Drosophila melanogaster: one gene and its partner. The gene in region 1 interacts genetically with each later gene. Each region holds a gene or a part of one and is shown in the gene's direction. Other genes may lie near its edges.

Region 1 (5,471 bases):
CTACGAATTGCTCCGAATTGCCCATAGCTTGCGTCTCATCCAGCTCCATGTCCTCTTCTTGCGTCTCCTCGTCCTCGGCCTCGTCTTCATCCTCTTCGTCGGCCTGGGTAACTGCCTCCACTTCGGCTGTAAGATTCTCCTTGCGGTAATGGTTGCGCAAAAGTTCGCTGATCGAGGCGCAGACAATCTGACGCACTTGAGCATCGAATCCCGGCGGCAGCCAGCCCGTGCGTTCATTGCACACAGCTCCGGTAAGTGGAGTGGGGATCTTCTCCAACATTTCCTGGATCCTCGTCATACGGACGTCGCAGTAGCGCAGCATGCATTGCCTGGAGCGCGGCAGCTTGTGCTCATCGAAGTAGGGATAGTCAATGTCCTGAACCAAATCAGAGACTCGATCCTCGATGGGCGCGAATGGAGCGTTCGCCGCCCTCCGTTGCTTTACGAACTTCTTAGCATACACGAATTCGGAGAGACCAGTGCTGAATCGGAGTCGGAAGTCGAAAGTCTGATAGTAGCGACTATTGAAGTCCTTGCGGGGATCGTAGCCGAAGCGAACATACAAAGTGCGCCACGGGCCGTTGCTAAAGTAAAATGCCAGCGATGGAGTGATGCACTTGAGTTTGTCGTTGGTCAAACCCGATTCATATTGCAGCGCGATTCGGGTCCAAATTGGGCAGTCATCGAAAAGTTTTTTGACCAATGCCAGCTGCTCATCCGAAACGTACTTGACCTTGAGTCGTTTAAGGTTTTGGGAGTCTGCCTGGGTGGGAAAGCTGTCCACCATGTTGAACGAGACCACGCCCTGGTTGTCGTAGGAGGACTTGGACTGCACGCCCAGCACCTCATGTTGGCCGTCTTCTGAGGGATCGATGCGATACGTGCCCGCATAGACAGTGTCCACGTGGGTGAACAATTCGGGCAGCGCCAGCAACTGGCTGTGGCGACGTCTGTGGGAAAAATACGATGCTTTTACATACTGAGCATTAAAATGATTAATTATACATGCTATATAGCTTTCAAACCAGGATCTCATTCTCTTGGTGCACAGAGCACGAATATGGACAAGTTACTCACTTAAAGTAGTCCAAGTCGGTGGTGTTTTTGGGTTTCAACTGGTCCAAAGCGTACGTGAGCTCCTGGGCAGCATTTGCGTTGTCACTTTTGGGAGTTGACCAGAGGGGTAGGTATTGGAAATCACAAAGCGCTTAAAGTAAAAGGAAATTAGAATATATCGTGGATGGAATTCCGACCATCTACTCACTTTCAAAGGTGAAGCTCCTGCTGCAGTGGCCCAACACCCGCACAAAATATTCCGGAGGCCGTTGCTTGTCCTTTTTGTGGCGCCTCACGGTTATGGATAGCAGGACACCAGTCTTATCCGTGCAGTCCCCAAAAGTGGGTTTGTTGTAGGGATTCTCCGGATGGAAGTGCAACGCCAATCGTTTCACTTCGTCGCCCAAAACCTGTGCATGGAATAAGATATCAGCCAAGTTGCCCGATTGCCTGACCAGGTTGAATTCCATACCTTAGACACATTGATGATGCCGCCCAGAGTGGCTATCATCCGATCGGGATTTACCACTCGGCCGGGGTACTCGATCAACTCATATTCTTTCTGCGGATTGAAACTCAATTGGCGCGACATGATATGAAACTGAGGTGAGTTTAACGAATTAAACAGCTGTTAGGGGAACAGTGATGCTCTCTACTAATAAATTCGAGCAAAAAAAAATGAGCAACACACAAAATTGAATGTGCCATGAAGGTGTACCCATAAGTCCTTTAAAACTAGTTATTGCCACAAATAAGCCTATAATATAAGAAACATAATTTGTAATAAAATAAATATAGAATATTATATATATATATAATATATTTTTAGCAATTTGATTATTATTGTTTGCTCACCCAGTGCTGAAAATAGCTAGCTTGGCAGCACTGCATGTTATCGAATTACCTATCGCTAGCCGGTTTGTTTATAGGCAATCTTGAAAATGTCGGGTAAAAACAGAAAACGCACGGCCAGCAGCAGCAGCAGCGGTGAGGAGCCGGACAGCGAGGAAGAGTCTCGCCTAAAGGACCTGCAGGAGCGCGACGAGTTCGCCAGCCGGCTGAAGAAGCGGGATGACGATCGGACGCGCAATGTGGTTGATTCCACCGGCGGACGAAGGGCCATCGAGGAGGCCACCAAGCGACTGAAGCTTGAGCATGAGGATCGGGACAAGATAGTGCCTCACCTGCGTCTGCAGTCGCGTCGCCAGTACCTGGAGAAGCGCAAGGATGACAAGGTGGCCGAGCTGGAGGCGGACATCCTGGACGATGAGTACCTCTTCGATGAGAGCGTGTAGGATCATAGCTTAATCCTTACCTACATAGGTATCCAAATAATCCTGGTTTGCTTTCAGCCTGACCAAACGGGAGAAGGAGGAGCGCGAGTACAAGAAGCAACTGCTGAACATCGCCAAGGAGCACGAGAAGGCGCGGGAACTAGAGCGCATCCAGCGTTATAATATGCCGCAGGACCTGAAAAAGGGAGAGCGATGTATGTAGACAACGTACGTTGGTCCTCGATAAATACTTATATGTTATTTTTCCACTTAAGCTGAATACGTTGAGGTTGATGAGTTTGAGAAGCAACCCAACTCAGAGCAGAAGAAATGGGAGGCTGAACAGCTGGCTTCGGCGCGTTTCCATTTCGGCGCGAAAGATGCCAAGGCGGAGGAGGAGTATGAGCTGCTACTTGACGATCAAATCGATTTCATCCAAGCCCTTACCCTGGACGGAAGTCGAGAGAAATCATCTAGCCGACAGCCCGAACTCACGGAGAAGGAACGCAAACGTTTGACATTGGACGAAACCAGAAGATCACTGCCCGTTTATCCGTTCAAGGAGGATCTGATTGCTGCTGTAAAGGAACATCAGGTGCTCATCATCGAAGGAGAAACAGGCTCGGGCAAAACGACACAGGTGCCGCAGTACCTCGTGGAAGCTGGTTTCACCAAGGACAAGAAGATGATCGGATGCACGCAACCACGTCGTGTGGCCGCCATGTCGGTGGCAGCACGCGTGGCCGAGGAAATGGGCGTGAAGCTGGGCAACGAGGTGGGCTACAGCATCCGTTTCGAGGACTGCACCTCGGATCGCACCATTCTCAAGTACATGACGGACGGCACCCTGCATCGAGAGTTCCTTTCGGAACCCGACTTGGCCTCCTACAGTGTGATGATTATCGATGAGGCTCACGAACGGACACTGCACACGGACATTTTGTTTGGCCTGGTCAAGGATATTGCTCGCTTTAGACCAGAGTTGAAGCTGCTCATTTCCAGTGCCACTCTGGATGCGGAAAAGTTCTCCGCGTTCTTCGATGATGCACCCATCTTTCGGATACCTGGTCGCCGCTATCCAGTGGACATATTCTACACCAAGGCTCCGGAAGCGGACTACATCGACGCGTGTTGCGTTTCAGTTTTGCAGATTCATGCCACTCAACCTTTGGGCGACATTCTAGTCTTCCTCACGGGTCAGGATGAGATCGAGACTTGCCAGGAGGTTCTGCATGATCGCGTAAAGCGGCTGGGCTCCAAAATACGTGAGCTGATCGTTATACCCGTCTATGCGAATCTACCGAGTGATATGCAGGCCAAAATCTTCGAACCCACACCGCCGAATGCCCGAAAAGTTATCCTGGCCACAAATATCGCAGAGACTTCGCTAACCATCGACAACATCATTTATGTAATTGATCCTGGGTTTGCCAAGCAGAACAATTTTAATTCCCGCACTGGCATGGAGTCGCTTATGGTGGTGCCCATTTCCAAGGCCTCCGCCAATCAGCGAGCGGGCAGAGCGGGACGAACTGCTCCGGGAAAGTGCTTCCGTCTGTATACGGCGTGGGCATACAAGCATGAACTGGAGGACAATACCGTTCCGGAGATACAGCGTATTAATCTGGGCAATGCGGTGCTCATGCTAAAGGCTCTGGGCATCAATGATCTGATACACTTCGACTTTCTGGACCCTCCGCCGCACGAGACACTGGTATTGGCTTTGGAGCAGCTATATGCCCTGGGTGCACTTAATCACCATGGAGAGTTAACCAAGCTGGGTCGACGGATGGCCGAGTTTCCCGTGGATCCCATGATGGGCAAGATGCTGCTGGCAAGCGAAAAGTATGTAATCGATCTAACAAACCAGAAGTGAAATAATTCGTATAATATTCGTATATTTTTGTTTTAGATACAAATGCTCCGAGGAGATGGTGACCATTGCAGCCATGCTGTCCGTGAATAGCGCCATTTTCTACAGGCCCAAGGACAAAATCATTCACGCGGACACAGCCCGAAAAAACTTCAATCACATGCACGGCGACCACTTGAGCCTCCTGCAGGTCTACAATCAGTGGGCGGAGACGGACTACAGCACCCAGTGGTGCTACGAGAACTTCATCCAGTACAGATCGATGAAGCGGGCTCGCGACGTGCGGGAGCAGCTGGTGGGACTGATGCAGCGTGTCGAGATCGACATGGTCAGCTGCCTGCCAGAAACAGTAAACGTGCGCAAGGCAGCCACCGCTGGTTACTTTTACCATGTGGCGCGACTCTCGAAGGGCGGTCACTACAAGACCATCAAGCACAATCAGACCGTGATGATACATCCGAACTCCTCGCTCTTTGAGGAGCTGCCGCGCTGGGTGCTCTATCACGAGCTGGTGTTCACCTCCAAGGAGTACATGCGTCAGGTTATAGAGATCGAGAGCAAGTGGTTGCTGGAGGTGGCTCCGCACTACTACAAGGCCAAGGAGCTGGAGGATTCGACGAACAAGAAGATGCCAAAAGTCGCCGGGCGAGCCGAAATGGCGCAATAATTTTGAGGGGGTTTTTAGTTTTCAATTAATAATAAACTTTTATTGTAAATTTCACCATTTGTAGTTTGATATTGTAAACTGGCTTTGTTTATTATTATTCTTTTTAAATTTCGATAATCGATAATCTTAGGAAACAATCGAATACGATTCTTATTAGTACGTTTCGATATATGGCGGCCCCACCGACAGTTGTATTATCGATAACAGGCCGTGTGGTTGTATTTCGTGTTTTGCATTTCAAAGAGCAAAATTGCACAATAATTTAATTTAAGTGCAACCAAAAACCTTTAACAAGTGAGTCTATGAGCGAGCCGAGCTAACTGCGTTTGAAGACCAGGAAGAACAGGGGATAAAAACACGCAAACAGCACATTGTCATTAAACCATGACGTTCTAACCTAAAAACTGATGAAATTTCCAAGTCCAGTCGGCTTTCATTTACATATATAGTTTATAGAACAGTAACTAAATACATTACGTTTGTTTTATTCAAAGGATAATGGCTGCTCAGTTCTTTAATCGCATTGGCCAAATGGGCCTCGGAGTGGCCGTTTTGGGTGGCGTTGTCAATTCGGCATTATATAATGTGGAAGGCGGCCACC
Region 2 (5,268 bases), on another chromosome or scaffold:
CTTTGCAATGACTTTGACCAGATTTTGCATTTGATCAAGCTTGGTCTGGAATAAGCTTACATTAAGGTTCCTGGCGTGATTTTTGGTGTTTTCCTGCTCCTTCGTTACACTTATCAATTGTTCCTTGTCAATTCTATGCTGCTGCTTTATAATGACTGCAAGCTCTTCGAGAGCGGTTATCTTCTTAAGTAGGTACTCCACATTCAAATTGCTCCTTTGGTTCTTTTGCTTCTGCTTCACTATTTTGGCTAGCCGATCCATTTCCTGAACTCTTTGCAGCAAGCGCTTGCGGTCAATTCCAGTGTCAATTGTTTGAGGATTATTGTCTGACTTTCCATTGTTCAGCTTCAGTTTTTCATTCTCGGCCTGCAGGGATGCCATCTTTGCGCACAACAGTTGCGAAGCTTTGATAATCTCCACCTGCCATTTGGAAACGGATGCGGCGTACTCGTGCTGCGTTTCCAGCAGCACGCACTTGCACTCCTTGAGGTTCTTCAACTTGCGGTGTACATCAATGAAGCGGTCCTTTAGAGAATTAAACTTCTTGCGTTGCTCAGAGTTAAGTTCCTTGATGTTTTGGTACTTTTGCTGCAGCACACTCGACTCTTCTTCCATCGTGGCGACTTGCTGGCGAAGACTAGCGTTTTCCGCCTCCGCTTCCTTAATTTTGGCAATGTCCACTTCCAAAAGTTCCAGATTCTTGCGCTGCTCGTTACCCAGAGCATTGACCTGTTGCATAGCCTTTTCCATGCGATCCACATTGGCAAGGAGGGCATCGTTTTCATCACTCAGTCGCCCAAGTTGGCGCTTTAGGCTCTCGTTCTCGATCTCGAATTGCGTCAGTCGATCGGCATCCTCTTTGGTCTTTCGTTTCAGATTATTCACTTCCTCGGTGAGGATGAGGTTCTTATCGGTGAAGTCCTGGACCATTTCCTGCATGGCTGGCAGGCTGCTCTGCTTCTCCGCCGCCCGTTTAAGGGCATCCTTGAGTCGGTGATTTTCCTCGGTGAGTTCTGAAAGAGAGTGGCTTGCATTATTCTGGAAGATTCCCTGAAACTCTCCATCAAACTTACCATCTTTTGCCTGTTTCGCCTTTTTAGCGATGTTGAGCAGGCCTTTGTATTTGCTGATGATTTCATCTTTGCTCAGCGCCTCGATCGGATTCGGGTTCTTCTGCAAATGCAAATAACAAGATGAGACGTCATCATCAATTCTAGCGACACCTTTTTACTCACCTGGGTTTCCCTCGGTGATGCGGCTTCCATGTTACTTGCTATTTTCGTATCCTTGCATTTAATAGCGGTCCAAACATTTATGTCTTAACTCAGATCAGTGGTTTTCCAATTAGCAAGCGACCCAGATTACTCGAAAATGTTTTTGGACCCTTAATCAATCCGAGCGAAGAAAACACTCCAGCCACACTAACAGCTGATAGGGCTGTCATCACCGCCCAATTAGTGATGAGCGTCTTTTTTTAAGAAGGTGACGCAAAAACGGAAAAATTACTAATTAAAATTAAATGAAAGAATAATATTGTCTTAAAAATATGTGCTTTTTAAGGATTTAATTATCACTGTTGCATAAAAAGGGCTCAACTTTTTAATAAGTATTATGAAATTACATTTTGGTCCAAGAACGTTACCTTTAAAATTAAACAATATGATTCAATAAATTTGTTTCACTACTATTGGTGTTGTTCAACTATCGAAGGAACCTCAACTATCGATTAATGTGACCGCTCACCACTGACCACCACTAGCTCTGCAGTACAAGCAACATTTGGCATCTCTACTGTTTATCATTTTCTTGATCCGTTAAAGTGATGGATTTGAGTGATAATAGCCAAGTGGAGGATCAATACTTTGTTTACAAGCATGATAAGCTATTCGGCGAGAGTTTCCCCCTGTTCAAGGAAATCCGCAGGATGGGCAAGCTGTGCGATGTCACCCTAAAGGTTGTTTGCGTGCAGACTGGGGCATTCAATCACCCGCAGCTCAGAGATACGTTCATTATCTAGCGTCTAAATATAAAATGCCATCCCAATTATTGCAGGTTGAAGATCAGACCTTCTCAGCGCACCGCGTTGTGCTGGCGGCCACCATCCCGTATTTCTATGCGATGTTCACCAACAACATGGCAGAGAGTCGGATCAAGGAGATCACCATGAAGGAGAGCGCCATAGAGCCAAGTGCCCTGGAGAGTCTGATCAACTATGTTTACAGCGGCCAAGTGCGCATCGACAACCAGAATGTGCAGAACCTGATGGTGGGCGCCAGCTTCCTGCAATTGTCCAACGTGCGGGATGCCTGTGCCAGTTTCCTGATCTCCCGCTTTCATCCGCACAATGTCCTGGGAATCCGCACCTTCGCCGACTCCATGATCTGCCGGCAGCTAATCGACGCTGCCGACAAGTATATTGATCAAAACTTTGCCAAAGTCTCGCAGTCGGAGGAGTTTCTCGCCCTGGACTGCGAACAATTGCTGGAGCTGATGCGCCGGGACGAACTCAACGTACGCACCGAGGAGGTCATCTTCGAGGCCTGCATGAAGTGGGTCAAGTACGCAGAAGACAAGCGCTCTGAGCTCTTTCCTCAGGTCCTGGCTGCAGTGCGTTTGCCATTGCTCTCGCCTCAGTTCCTGGCGGACCGTGTGGCCCGCGAGGAACTCATTCGATCCTCGCACCAATGCCGTGATCTCCTAGACGAGGCCAAGGACTTTCACCTCATGCCCGAGCGCAGGGGTCTGCTGCAGAGCTTTCGCACGCGCCAGAGATCCGGTGAGTTCTTTACCGGACAAATATACGCCGTGGGAGGACTGGCCAGCACTGGGGAATCTGTGAGCACGGTCGAGATTTACGATCCGCTCACCAAAAAATGGAAAATGGGCGAACAAATGTCCATGATGAGGTGAGTGTGCGAGGAGCATTTATTTCTATTCTATCCCATACTAATTGCCAATTTTTCGACAGATCTCGCGTGGGTGTGGCCGTTCTGAATGGCAAGCTGTACGCCTTTGGTGGATTCAATGGCACCGAACGTCTGTCCACCGTTGAGGTCTACGACCCGCGCAAAAACAAGTGGTCCCAGGGCTGTGCCATGCTCTGCAAACGCAGCGCCGTGGGCGTGGCCGCATTGGATGATTGTATCTATGTGTGCGGCGGCTACGACGGCGTCACGTCGCTCAACACCGTTGAAGTTTACTATCCAAAGTCTAACACTTGGAAGACTGTAAGTAAACAAACATTCTATGTAACCCAGATGGGTAAGAAAACTGATCCAACTTTAATTTCACTACCCGAAGGTTGCTCAAATGATGAAATATCGTTCGGCTGGTGGAGTTACCCAATTGAACGGCTACGTCTACGCCCTTGGCGGTCATGATGGGTTGTCCATATTCGATTCGGTGGAGCGGTACGACCAGGCCGAAGATGTCTGGGTTAAGATGTCGCCCATGCTGAATCGTCGCTGTAGACTGGGCGTGGCCACGCTGAACGGAAAGATATACGTGTGCGGCGGCTACTGCGGCAACTCATTCCTTCGATCCGTAGAGTGCTACGACCCTCAGACGGACACCTGGAAGCTGGTGACACCAATGAATTGCAAACGCTCGCGGGTGGCTCTGGCCGCCAACATGGGCAAACTGTGGGCCATCGGCGGCTATGATGGCGAGTCAAATTTGTCTACAGTCGAGGTGTACGATCCGGAGACCGACAAATGGACCTTTATGCCGCCCATGTGCGCACACAGTGGTGGTGTCGGAGCCGGGGTCATACGGATCGAGTAACCCACTCGATTCGCCTGCCAAACCCGTTTCTCTAGCCACACTCGTCTTAGGTAATTTATGTGAATTGAATCGATATAGTTTAGCCTAGATATGATTGTTGAGGGTAACCAAGCTTTAGTGGCACCTCGTGCGGCCGCCTCGTATGCAACTCAGCTCAGCTCTTGCAGCTCTATCAAAATTGTTCATATACTACTCACAGCTCTATAGATTTTGTCATTCCAGTTATGTAATTGTTTAGTTACTACGCCTAGCCTTAAATACTCATTACAATATTAATCCTCCAAATAAAAACATGTATAACGCATGTTATGTAAAAATTTATTAATGGTTGGTTTATTTTTGTAAGACGGGTAAAATAGTCCTATGTATAACTAAAATCAATTTCACACCAATTTAAATCATATTTTATTTAATTTAATTTAAATTGAACTAGACTCTTAACATTAAAGTTATCTAAAGACGTATTCTTTGTATTCATTTTCAGTCATTACCCTCGCCATTTGTAATCTTGAAATGTTTTAGAAGGTTGTTAAAGTTCAGTAATTTCCTTACAGTAAAGGGACGACTGTCAACCTTTTGCACATCGTATAAATCAATTGTGTTTCGACGATCCATATGGGCGGCGGATACGTTTTATTTGAACAATAATAAATGGTTGACAAATAACAAAGCAATCTGAGCGACAAAAAGGCGAAAATGGCGAGGGCAGCGCAAAAAGTTGATGGTCAATAAGCAGGCCTTTATGGAAGGCAGTGCACTTGTTTATTGTCCCTAAAATACTTTCAGTTTTAATTAAAAATGATTAAATATTATTACCCAAGTCCCAATGTCTATCTACAATTTTCTACTTATTTTGTAACGAATAAATGTACCTTCCCTCGTTGCATCTCAGTTGAACATGCGGAGTATCTCTTCCCTTGATATTTGTACACCTCCCACGCGCGGAATGCAATTTTAAATTCGATTTGCACCACCTGCTCAAAGTGCAGCGGCAGCAAAACTAATTCGGAGCAACAGGTGGCAATGGCGCATCCAAAAATAGAGGCTAACGAAACCAAACCAAAACAAAATCAATTTGCCGTCTATCACTGACCCATAAAATGCCATACGCACAGCAAAGGGTCATAATCCAATCAATTGCACACTTAACGTACATATTTCGCAGTTATCAGATGGTTCCAGCGATGGAGGACCTTATCGCCGATCCGGATACGATCCGGTCCTGTTCCCGATTGCCAATGGCTACATGTATATTTATGTGGCTCTGCAGCGGCACGGCTATTTGCACAAGCGAAAAGGCTTTGTGGCGGCGGTCTTATTTGATTTTGATAATCAAATCACAAATTGCTTGTCTATCGATGGGCAATTTTATTTTAATTAAATGCTAATTATGTTTACCAAATGGTTGGAGTAAATATTTGTTGCATCACCGGGGACAATTGTTTATCACCACCAAACTGGAGCTCGTTTAGTTGGAAATCCGTC

What was found. Genes that interact genetically often act in the same process or in processes that back each other up.
Region 2: of l(2)37Cb (region 1) and KLHL18, changing one enhances a phenotype caused by changing the other (phenotypic enhancement), as found in Drosophila melanogaster (one study listed by BioGRID).

What each region holds. Positions count from the first base shown.
Region 1 is NT_033779.5:19,123,450-19,128,920, reverse strand, and holds l(2)37Cb (lethal (2) 37Cb), read left to right. Parts: upstream 1-1,944; 5' UTR 1,945-1,997; coding exon 1,998-2,347; intron 2,348-2,408; coding exon 2,409-2,545; intron 2,546-2,605; coding exon 2,606-4,175; intron 4,176-4,242; coding exon 4,243-4,870; 3' UTR 4,871-4,923; downstream 4,924-5,471. Other genes in the region: l(2)37Cd (lethal (2) 37Cd), read right to left, coding at 1-950, 1,078-1,207, 1,265-1,466, 1,529-1,648; Phb1 (prohibitin 1), read left to right, coding at 5,369-5,471.
Region 2 is NT_033777.3:12,006,928-12,012,195, reverse strand, and holds KLHL18 (kelch like family member 18), read left to right. Parts: upstream 1-1,761; 5' UTR 1,762-1,822; coding exon 1,823-1,954; exon of another isoform or gene 1,955-2,031; coding exon of another isoform or gene 2,032-2,052; coding exon 2,053-2,906; intron 2,907-2,968; coding exon 2,969-3,227; intron 3,228-3,300; coding exon 3,301-3,783; 3' UTR 3,784-3,833; exon of another isoform or gene 3,834-4,095; intron 4,096-4,267; 3' UTR 4,268-4,720; downstream 4,721-5,268. Other genes in the region: GCC185 (GRIP and coiled-coil domain containing 185 kDa), read right to left, coding at 1-1,013, 1,074-1,173, 1,236-1,265.